Nothobranchius furzeri: one gene and its partner. The protein of the gene in region 2 binds, or shares a complex with, the protein of the main gene of each other region. Links are inferred from orthologs where the notes say so. Each region holds a gene or a part of one and is shown on either strand. Other genes may lie near its edges.

Region 1 (5,697 bases), on a different chromosome or scaffold from region 2:
ACCCTCAGCTCCTCAACATGTCTTGTAGAGGTTTGATACGTCCTCGCTCTGAGGCTGTCCTTATCTACACGCTGCTCTCCTCCATCTCTGTACTCACAGTAGCTCTAAACCTGCTGGTTATCATCTCCATTTCCTACTTCAAAGAGCTCCAGACCCCCACCAACACACTCTTGCTGTCCCTGGCCATCTCAGACCTCCTGGTGGGGCTGCTGGTGATGCCGGTGGAGACAGTGCGCTACGTGGAGCCCTGCTGGCTCCTGGGCGATCTCATGTGCGCTCTGTCTTACATCGTCGGCTTCACCCTCACGTCGGCCTCTGTGGGGAACATGGTGATGATTTCAATCGATCGTTACGTTGCTATTTGTTATCCTCTGCAATACCCCTCTAAGGTCACCCGTAGCCGAGTCCAGGTGTCTGTGATATTGTGCTGGTTCTGCTCGCTCCTCTACAACGGGCTCATCTTGAAGGAGCACCTCAGGCAGCCAGACAGATACAACTCCTGCTACGGGGAGTGTTTGGTGGTGATCAGCTACATCTGTGGGACCATCGACCTCGTGATCACCTTTATTGTGCCTTGCTCAGTCATAGTGCTTCTATATGTCAGAGTATTTGTCGTGGCGGTGTCTCAGGCTCGGGCCACGCAGTCTCATGTCACACCTGCAGTTGGCCTGGGGAAAATCACGGCACAGAAATCTGAGAGGAAAGCAGCCAGGACCCTCGGTGTTGTGATATTAGTCTTCCTACTGGCTTTCTGTCCTTATTACTATCCGTCTCTTGCAGGACGAGACATCTCAAACAACTCGTCCTCGTGGGCCATTGTGTCCTGGATGCTGTATTTTAATTCTTGCTTGAACCCTCTCATATATGCGTTTTTTTACCCGTGGTTTAGGAAAACTACTCATTTAATCGTCACCCTGAAAATACTAAAACAGGACTCATCTCAGATCAACATATTTTAAATGTTAGCACATCAGACAGCTGGTGGGAGGTGATGCACATTTAGGCTGCAGCTCAGATTTGATTTCTTGGGACTATTTAAAACGTGGGCCATGCAACCTGCTGTTAGGATTCATTAGAGAAGATATGTGCAACTCAAGAATCTTGTATTAGAAAATAATTACTCCTGTATGTATATATATATATATAATGCATATCTGTGCAGCATGCATGCATGTTTTTACATTAACTAATAGATTTATGCAATAAATCATCTACCTAAAAAGTGTTTATATTGTTTCTGCATTTAAATGTTTTAGGATATTCTCTATTTAAACTGATTTCTTTTATCAATATGTGCAAAAAACTGTGTAAGGATGTAAGAATCTGGATCAACCGATGGCTAAAACCTCTTTTCCATAACTTTCTGACTTCATCAAATTATATTTTATACTTTGAACAACTATTGATGGTTGGACAGAAATTAGTTTTAATTCCAAATAACTAATGTTCATATGGTGTACACATAGCAGAAATAACTCATATAGACACTGCAACAAACACAAATTGAGTGCAATAATGAATGCTTTTGAAAACTGTCTACATGGAGACACTAATGAAGGTAAATTCAGGTTTTTTTTCTGTATAAATATTTTAATACATGTTAAAAGCAAACTTTGGTTAAAGGAAACGAGATACTTGAACAAATTAAAACAACATATATGAAGTCCTCATCGCTTGGACTGAGAGTGAAGCCCTCTGACCTCTGCAAAAAATAAATAATAAAATAAAACATTTAATCATGTTACAAATGAAATATTTAGTGTTTTATAACTAAAACAAACTACAGAACTGTCAATAATATAATTTTCCTTGTAGATTTTGAGATTTAATATTTTGCAAAAAAAAAAAAAAGGTACCAACAGTTTTTATGAATAATTATAACAACCTGGGATTTCGTGCGGCCAGAAGTCATCACAAGAAGGGCAGTGTGGCTCGGTTCTGCCTTTGAAGTATCTGGCCACACACGGGCTGTGGATTTTTATTCCACATGAGGGGTTGTCGCAAATTTGGCACTTGGGGAAAAGAAATAAAAGAAAATAAATATTGTTTATAATAAAAAGCCTTTTAATGTTACATTTGAATATTACAGCACTTTTGGTCATGATTCAAACTTTGTCCAAGTCTAATTTCTTAACATGAATTAGATTGCTCAATTCATTGCATTTTAATCACATTTACGATCTGAGTTTTGAACGATTATGAAAACAACGAGCCGATTATTTACTCCTCCCTTGTGGTTTACTCCGAGTTGCAAATTGAGTGCACCTCTAAGCAGCGTTGACAACTTTTAGCAACTTTGTGGCTGTTTCTAACCGCTTTTCCCTTCTTTTACTTGTTTTCTAAAAGTACCTACTGAACTATCTAGAAACATTTCTAGTAACCCTTAGCTACTTTCTGGATAACTGTCATCGATATTTCCTGCAGGATAGGAAAACACTCAGCCATCTCTCCGGACCGGCCGTCTGGAGATTAGAAAAGGGAATGATGCAGCGATGTGTCGGTCGCAAACGAAACGGCTCTCAGAGCCGGCTTCCTCACAGGTTAACCGGATCGACACACACTGGCTCCTGAGCCGCAAAACGTACACTCGTGGCACGCTGTACACGCACACACACACAGTGTGCCCCTGATTGCCGTGAGACCAGGAGAGGATGTGTGTGATCGCACCTCCAATCGCTGTAAAAGCAGGGAGAGGGGTGGCAGGTGCAAAATACCTGTGACAGTTATTACATTAACTGATGGGACCTGCCAACAAATAGTATAGAAATAAGTTAGAAATAGATAAAAATAACTTTCTCATGCTGATAATCATTCATCATTCACCTCTCAGCTCAGTGACCTAGTGGTAGAGTGTCCACCCTAAGACTAGGAGATCAGGGTCCGATTCCTGGTCGGGTCAAACCAAAGACTTTGAAAAAAATGGGACCCAATGCCTCCCTGCTTGACACTCAGCATTAAGGGGCTGGACTGGGGGGTTAAACCACCAAATGGTTCCTGAGCGCGGCTGTGTCTGCAGCTCACCGCTCCCACAGGGGATGGGTCAAAGGCGGAGAGCAAATGTCGCACACACATCAGTGTGTGTGACAACTGATGGGACTTTAAAGAGCAAGTCACCCCCTACAAGAAACTTACTTCACTCCCACTTCATGTTTGAAAAATGCAACAAATGCTGTTGCCTGGCAGACCGAGAGGGCGGAGCCGCTAACAAATACACACACACACACAGGCTCACAACGGCATTGTGACATCATAATGTACCAGATGACATCATAGCATACCTCTTAGCCAATAGCGGTGGCAGATTTAAATTCAATTACAGTGCAGAATTTTTCCCTGACGACGGCACAACACTGACAGTTATAGGCAGAATATTTGAATTTTAACCAAGATGCACTGAACTGCCAAATTATTGAGGACATGTGTCTGCAGCACGATTAGACACTCCTTTAAATAGTTTATCAGCAAAAAAAAATGTGATTTGGGGGTGACTTGCTCTTTAACTTCATCTCTCTGAATGACACATTGCTCCTGTACTCTCCCCTACAGTACCGCTGGAGGACCAAATAATTCTTATAGAAAATTTTGCGGAAGTTCACTACGACATAGATGTTTATATGTTTTATATATTTATTTTATATAATAAATGTACTTTATAACTCTTGCTGTCAGTATTTGCAAGATACTGGTTGGATGTTTGGGTCTGCATTGGGTAAGCTTAATCAATCAATCAATCAATCAATCAATACTTTATTAATCCCAGAGGGAAATTAGAGTTTCAGTAAACAAGTTCAAATTCAGCCTAAACCCTTTCGGTCATAAACGATGAGCAAGTGTATTTGCTCTGCATCGGCTGAGTCTCCACTTAAAGCCGCTGACATGGACACGCTTGCTGCCACCTGTCTCCATTCACTGCTGGCTGGTGAATAACAGTGTCCAAAACGTCATCATCTTGCTTCATTCAGATTAATTTATTCTTCTTCTCAGTGATATTCCATCTTCAAATTAATTTCAATTATCAAAATACAAAAAATGATCCAAAACAGACAGAAGATTTTACCAGGATGAACCCATAGAGTTGGCGGTTAAAAGCTTGTTTGCTCTGTCCATATAACAACACCTGTACTTCCTCCCTATATGGTACCATCAATTACCTCTAGAAGGACATCTAGTGAACAAAAATAAGAACTGGTTAAATGGTTGTTACAGGCTCTTAGATACTAGGAATCTGGAGTTTTGTGATTATCTTGTTTCTTTATTTTTTTTCTCTCTGATTGTGCCCTGTGCAAATTTATGACAATAAATAAATAAATACACTCAACATTAAATAATCAAGATCTCAATTTCAGTCAAAATAATTGCGATTATCATTTTTGCCATAGCCGAGCAGCCCTAGTATTAATACCTAAATAATTTCAGGAATTTGCCACCCGAGCATAGAGACAACAGAAAAAGGTTGTATGACGTAAAAAGGGAACAATTACCTGAAAAGCAACGCTGTGACAGATGTAGCACATCTTGACCTGATCTTGATACATGGCACGAATGTATGGCTCCATCTCTATGATGCACCGAGTGGACAGAGTGTACTCCCCTCGTTTCTAAGGGGGTAAACAACACTGAATCACACGAAAAACACAGCAAGAAGGGAACAAACTGCTTTAATATAATCTCTTAAGTCATTGTTCAACTCAGACTACGAGAGACTTGTTTAGATCTGTTATTTTATATATAATCTAGCTGTGAAAAAGCATTTTTATCCTGAAGTCTGTGTGCAGAGAACTGGAAACCAAATCTAAATGGATAAACTTTATTCCTTTCAGTGTGGCAGACGGAGGTAATGTGTTTTTGTGGGATGCATTCAAGCTCAATTTAAAGTTTGTCTGAAAAATATAAATATGTACACTGAATTTTAAAACAATGCTTGCTATTTAATAACAGTCAACAACTTGGTGTAACAGTTTCTCACACACAACTACAAATTCACACACAAATTCTATATTGTTAGAAAAAATAAGAGCAGAATCAGATGCAGTTTCCCCAAGGAATTTTCCCAGCTGTGGCGGTGGGTGGGGGTGGGGAGTGATTGTGACACGTCTCTAAATAAAGTAAAATTTTCCAGTGCAGTGTGGAGACAACCCATAGAAGCACTGATTTGATCTCATTTCAGAGAAAAATAGAACAGGTTAGATGCACCTAATAAATAAAATTACAAACAAACTCAGGAATCTGTTTCTTTGCTTCCCTGTTCTGGTGCTGAGAACATCACTAATGCGGATCAAAGGAGATGCACAGATGAATGCACCTCTTATTTATTATTTGGAGACTACATTTACTGCAGCTGGCAGAGGTAGAGATTTTTTCTATTGATACACGTAATTTACAGAATCATTTTAAATGTTAATAGGGGAAGACTGCAGGAGGGAGCGGTAAAATACAGGGGGTCCCCAGCAAAAACAAGAAACTACGAGTCTGACGAAACCCGCTGGTTTTCCATCAGGCAGTCACGGGGCAGCTCCAACGACCCAGTGGCTGTGCTGGGTCAGTGTTATCGAGCTCAGTCCGGCTCGGCCGTGAACGAGCCGAGGCGACGTCGTGCTCTGCTTAAGAAGAAGCGTTATTTTCCCGCTTCAGAAGAAGCGTCCAACGTGTTTTTACGCTTTCTCCGAGACATGTCACGTCGCTAAGTTGTTAGCGCCG
Region 2 (5,564 bases):
TCTCTCTCTCTCTCTCTCTCTCTCTCTCTCTCTCTCTCTCTCTCTCTCTCTCTCTCTCTCTCTCTCTCTCTCTCTCTCTCTCTCTATATATGTGTATACATACATATATATATGTATATATATATATATATATATATATATATATATATATATATATATATATATATATATATATATATATATATATAATTTATTTATGTGGTTTACTGGATTTAAATCAATCTGTGTTAGATTAAGATCACAGTTGCTCAGATTATTTACAGGCAATCATTTCTCAAGTTATTTTGACCAGCAATTGTGGGTTTATTTGTTAGTAACTTTTTATCAGATGTAAAGTATTCTGTGTTACGAAAAGTGCTCTACAAGTAATCTTTGATTTACTGAATGACAGAAAAATTACAAGAACAAATAAAAACATAATGAAACAAAATCACACACATTGATTTCTCACTGTTGAATTGTTTATATTTTTTAATACTAAAGAATAGAAAAGTGTCTCGTTTACAAGGAACAATTTAGTATTTTAATTTTGATTAGCCTTGCAAAGCTTTAATCCAAAACATTTAATCAATTAAACAAAACAAAACAACAACAAAAAAGAAAAATTGTTGGACTTTTCCCACAACAAACCACTAGATGGCGACAGTCTCCAAGCTGGCCATGTCCCATGATGCAACGCGTGCGCTTCCTTTTATATAGAGCCGGAAGTGTATAGCCATCATAGCATGAGTGGCTGGTTGTGTGCGTGTTGTTAGTTAGCGAGCGTCTGTGTGAGTGAATGTGGAGTATGCATGTTGTATGTGTGTATATTTTTAAAAACCTACACAGTGATCTTATTTGATCTGGTCTGAGTTTGGCTCTGCTCTGACTAGAAATGATAAAAAAAGCGCTCGCGAGCTTCTATGGGGGCGATGAGCAGCCGGCGACAAACACCTAATGGGGCCTCCACATTTCGTGCTGTGGTCAGAAGTGATGAATTGATCAGATATACTAGTTCTGGGTCGGCTTGAGGTTCGCCTTAAAGCTTTACCTGTAAGAACAATGAGTAAAGAGGCGATTCTGATCTCACCACAGCCGAAAAGAAGCCACGAGACCCGCATGTTAGGAAATGGTGAAACAAAAGTGGCTTTCATTTGTATAGATAAAGATGGATGGATGGATGATCTTTATTGACAGACTCTTATGTCCAGATTAAAAAATAAATAAATAAAACAAAACATTAAAAACAAATAAGATAAAAGCATAAACATCTAAATCTATTTAAAAAAACTTACTATAAAGATGTTCCACACAAGAGTAACCACACAAACACTTCAGCCAGTGTTTCCTTATACTGGACAAATAGCGACAAATGCTCACAGCAGGATCAGTGATTGCTAAAATTATACTGTTGGCAGAGCTATCCAGTCGTTCTCTAAAAGTGAACATTAGTTTTCTTAAAAGAGCTTTAAAGTACAAATGCCTGCTGTTACAAACATCTGACTGGCACTGCCCCCTCTGGGTATTTTGAGTATGATTCTTAAGGCATCATTGAATGCAACATGCAGCTTATTCATGCTGCTTTGATTGTAAGATCAAAATTACTGCCCAACAAAACCAAAAATACTGCTCAACCACAGTTGGGCTGTATAAAGCGGAGTACAATATGCTTTAAATAAAGCCACCTTAACTGGTGAACAAAAACTTACGTGCTATAGTATTATTGGCCTGTGCATACAGCTTACAGCACCATGGCATGTAGTCATGCAAATGCTAAAATTGGCCATTAGAGACAAATTCGGACTTTTTTATGAGCAAAAACTACACAAGCATAAAAAAAATTACACAAGCATATCCGTGTTCCTGTTTTACTTTCATACATGTTCTCGTGATAGTTAGCGTTAACATTTTTATGTACATGTGACCTCTTAAAAGCTCAGCAAAACGCGCGAGAATAAGCAACGTGATCGTAGCCGAACCGTAGCCGCGAAGAGAATTTTGTTTAGTCGCTATGGGCGAATCAAGTAAAAGACCGAGATTAAGTCAAATTAGCAGAAACACGCAGACTTCTGCGAGCAGAGCAAGCGTGTTCAGAGGTGGACACTCGGATATTGCCGGAGGCGTTGGTACATTTGTTGAGGGTTCCATCCTTCGCATCACGATGAGAAACTTCCTGTAAGTTGTAGTTCCTTAACTGTCAAGAGTTCTACCGGTAGCCAGCAAACATCACATTGTGCTCTTAGATAACATACAAGCTTATAATAGCACCATTTGTTGTTTTATAAAGTTTTAAACCTTTTGATCACGTAGTTTGCGCACAGAAGTGAACAGCTAGCATACAATTAGTGGTTTAACGGCTCAATTTTAGCTGTTTAAATATAGTGATACAATAAATACAATGTTTTGTGTAAAATTAGCTATATAAGATAACATTTTGCGCAGTGTGACATAACCGAAAACTCCTAAATGTGTTTTCTGTCCACTGACAGAACGTATGACTTCTCTGTGGTCCATCCGGGATCCAATCTGAACATGATTGTTGGAGCTAACGGGACTGGGAAGTCCAGCATTGTATGTGCCATCTGCCTGGGTCTGGCTGGAAAGACAGCAATTCTGGGCAGAGGAGACAAGGTACACAAACCACCTGCACTGGTCTACTTGATTTATTCTGAAAAAGACCATTTAAGAAAGCGATGGAGTCAAGATTTTTATTGGTTTGTTAAAATCACACTGGTAATAAAGACATATAAACATTTGCAGAAACTATTTAATTTCTGTTGTTTATGCACCACAGAGTCATGATTGCTACAAGCTTTTAATGGTTAAATAAATTGATTTAGATTATTTATGCAGGTTGGGCTCTATGTCAAACGTGGCTGCAAGAAAGGCTCTATTGAGATTGAACTGTAAGTTACTTTACATAGATTTTCCTCTATTACACTTTTTGTATTTTTAATCTAAATTCCAGATTGATGCTCTTGCATAACAAGTACCAAGCTAATGGTTGACCAGCCAGATAACATTAGACATGCTTGCATGAAATGATGTCTGTTTTTGCCTCTACAGGTACAAAAATGGAGGTAATGTGATAATTAACAGAGAGATCCATGTAGAGAACAATCAGTCACTTTGGATGCTGAATGGAAGACACTGCAGCCTGAAACAAGTAGAAGAAGAGGTCAGGACTCTGCAAATTCAAGTCAGCAACCTCTGCCAGTTCCTCCCTCAGGTAGGTTTTCTAGATGTGATCTAGCTCAGTGGCCTAGTGGCAGAGTGTCTGTTCTGGGACTGGGAGATCAGGGATTGGATTCCCGGTCGGGTCATACCAAAAACTTTAAAACTGGGACCCAGTACATCCCTGCTTGACACTCAGCTTTAAGAGGTTGGATTGGGGGTTAAACCACCAAATAGTTTCCAAGCGCAGCCACCGCTGCTGCTCACCACTCCCCTCCATGGGGATAGGTCAAATGTGCAGATGAATTTCACCAGTGTGTAATGATGACTATGTGACTTTAACTTTAGTGCTTCACTTGTGCAAAGTAAAACGTGTCAGAAATCTTCATTTTCTAACTTCTTCTCTGTTCTGTCACAGGAAAAAGTTGGAGAGTTTGCAAAAATGTCCCAAATTGAGTTGCTTGAGGCAACCGAGAAGTCGGTTGGACCACCAGAAATGTACGAGTACCACTGTGAGCTTAAAAACTTCCGCAGCAAAGAACGAGAACTGGAGGTGAAACTTTATTTTATTTGTGTAACAGTTTTTTTTTGGGAATAACTGTTTAGATAATCTAATTCCCGTTGAGATCTCAGCTATGTCAGCTGGATTGTTGTTACATGATAATTACATGTTTGCTGTTGTGAAAGATGCAACTCATCGTTTCGCTGCGGTTTTGGCGGGATGTTTGTCTGTAGAACGTCTTGAAGGAGAAGACGAGTTTCCTGGAAAAGGCCAAGCAGAGGAATGAGAGGAACAAGCTCGATGTCAACCGCTACTATGAAAAAAAGCGGCATCTTGACGTCATCGAGCTGCTGGAGAAGAAGAAACCGTGGGTGGTGAGTTATTCACATAAAGCACTCTGCACAAACTGTGGAAACAAATCCAGTTTGTAATCTGATTACCCTCTTTGGCTTTGATATCAGGAGTATGAAACCACTCGTAAGGAGCTGGAGGGTGTGAAGAAGGAGCGAGAAGAAGCCAAAAAGCAGCTTTTGACCCTGAAGCAAGCCCAGGCGCCCATGCTGAAGAAAATCCAGCAGATTGATGAAAAGCTGAAGCCCATTGAGGCAGAAATGAAAGCTAAGGTGACCGAAGGTGGCTTGCTGTCTAAATCTGTTACATGAACATTAAGTTAAACTAACCATGTGTGTTTCAGACTGCTGCTATCAAAGAAGCTTCTCAGAAGTGCAAGCAGAAACAAGATCAGCTGGATCGAAAACATAAAGAGGTGGTGGTGGTGGTGGGGTGGGGGGGGGGGGGGGTGTTGCTCAAAGAAGAGGAAAAAAAAAGTAACAATTAAATGTTTGAAATAACGTCATCCTTGTGGCTCATCTCTCCTCTGCAGATTGATGACATTAAACAGGCACTGAGGATGAAGCAGATTGAAGAGGAAGACCACCAGAAAAGAATCGTCAACACTAGACGGACCATCGAAGACCTGAAGGTGGAGCTGGACAAGCTCGGAGACCAACTAGACACCACCCTGCTGATTTCTGCTATTAGTGTGGAACTTAAGGAGATCCAGGAGAGGACAGCCAGGATTGAAGCGGAAAAGGCCGACCTGCGCAGGGAGAGGGACAACGTCATCGCAGAGTCCAGAAGTGAGTTTAAAACTAAACAGACTTTACATTTAATGATTAAAATAACAGACGGCATTGCTAGGATTTTATTATTTTAATGCCAGGCTTGCAGAAGAAGCTCAATGACATGAACAACCTGATGAACATGAAAGAAGAGAAGCTGCGGACACGCCACAGGGACACACACACCGCTCTCCTTTGGCTCAGAGAGAACAGACAGCTGTTCAGAGGAAACATTCATGAGCCCATGATGCTGGTGGTGAGTTCCATCACTGGAAATGTGTATTACTAGAAGTTTTAGTTGCTGTAAAATGCCGAAGTTTGATGTTTCAACCCACAAGTTTAGTCATAAATGTATTAAATGAAAAATAAAATCTCGTTTTCCTATAAGTAGATGTTAAAACGTAATGGTTACTTGGCCTTCGTTATCACAGATCAACGTAAAGGATCATCAGAATGCCAAGTATGTGGAGAACCACATCTCCTTCCACGACCTGCGAGCGTTTGTCTTCCAGAGGAAAGACGACATGGAGAAATTCTTGGTGGAGGTCAGGGCGGTTTGCATTCAGAACACTGCTCAGCTGAGAGACAGCATTTCTGAGTGTGAACATGTAACTGTTCATAGTAAGAATTTAAAATATTTTCTTCAGGTTCGTGACAAGATGAATCTGAAAGTCAACGCCATTTCTGCTCCGGAGGTGTCCTGTTCTGGACGTCCACCGTCAAGAAACATCGAGTCCATGAGGTGAGAGAGAGTGAAAGTGTGTTAATGATCAGCCAAGGTGGGGGCT

What was found. The genes of interacting proteins can lie anywhere in the genome.
Region 1: smc5 (region 2) and nsmce1 share a complex: the UniProt entries of both Homo sapiens proteins name them as parts of the SMC5-SMC6 complex. The link is inferred for Nothobranchius furzeri from reciprocal best matches to the Homo sapiens genes SMC5 and NSMCE1.

What each region holds. Positions count from the first base shown.
Region 1 is NC_091744.1:4,225,643-4,231,339, reverse strand, and holds the end of nsmce1 (non-structural maintenance of chromosomes element 1 homolog), read right to left. Parts: intron 4,599-5,697; coding exon 4,482-4,598; intron 2,013-4,481; coding exon 1,886-2,012; intron 1,703-1,885; coding exon 1,668-1,702; 3' UTR 1,545-1,667; downstream 1-1,544. Other genes in the region: trace amine-associated receptor 13c, read left to right, coding at 1-959. UniProt on the Homo sapiens protein: RING-type zinc finger-containing E3 ubiquitin ligase that assembles with melanoma antigen protein (MAGE) to catalyze the direct transfer of ubiquitin from E2 ubiquitin-conjugating enzyme to a specific substrate.
Region 2 is NC_091755.1:27,651,662-27,657,225, forward strand, and holds the start of smc5 (structural maintenance of chromosomes protein 5), read left to right. Parts: upstream 1-1,788; 5' UTR 1,789-1,990; coding exon 1,991-2,154; intron 2,155-2,468; coding exon 2,469-2,610; intron 2,611-2,832; coding exon 2,833-2,885; intron 2,886-3,045; coding exon 3,046-3,208; intron 3,209-3,571; coding exon 3,572-3,706; intron 3,707-3,888; coding exon 3,889-4,029; intron 4,030-4,116; coding exon 4,117-4,278; intron 4,279-4,349; coding exon 4,350-4,421; intron 4,422-4,538; coding exon 4,539-4,794; intron 4,795-4,877; coding exon 4,878-5,032; intron 5,033-5,207; coding exon 5,208-5,321; intron 5,322-5,423; coding exon 5,424-5,518; intron 5,519-5,564. UniProt on the Homo sapiens protein: Core component of the SMC5-SMC6 complex, a complex involved in repair of DNA double-strand breaks by homologous recombination.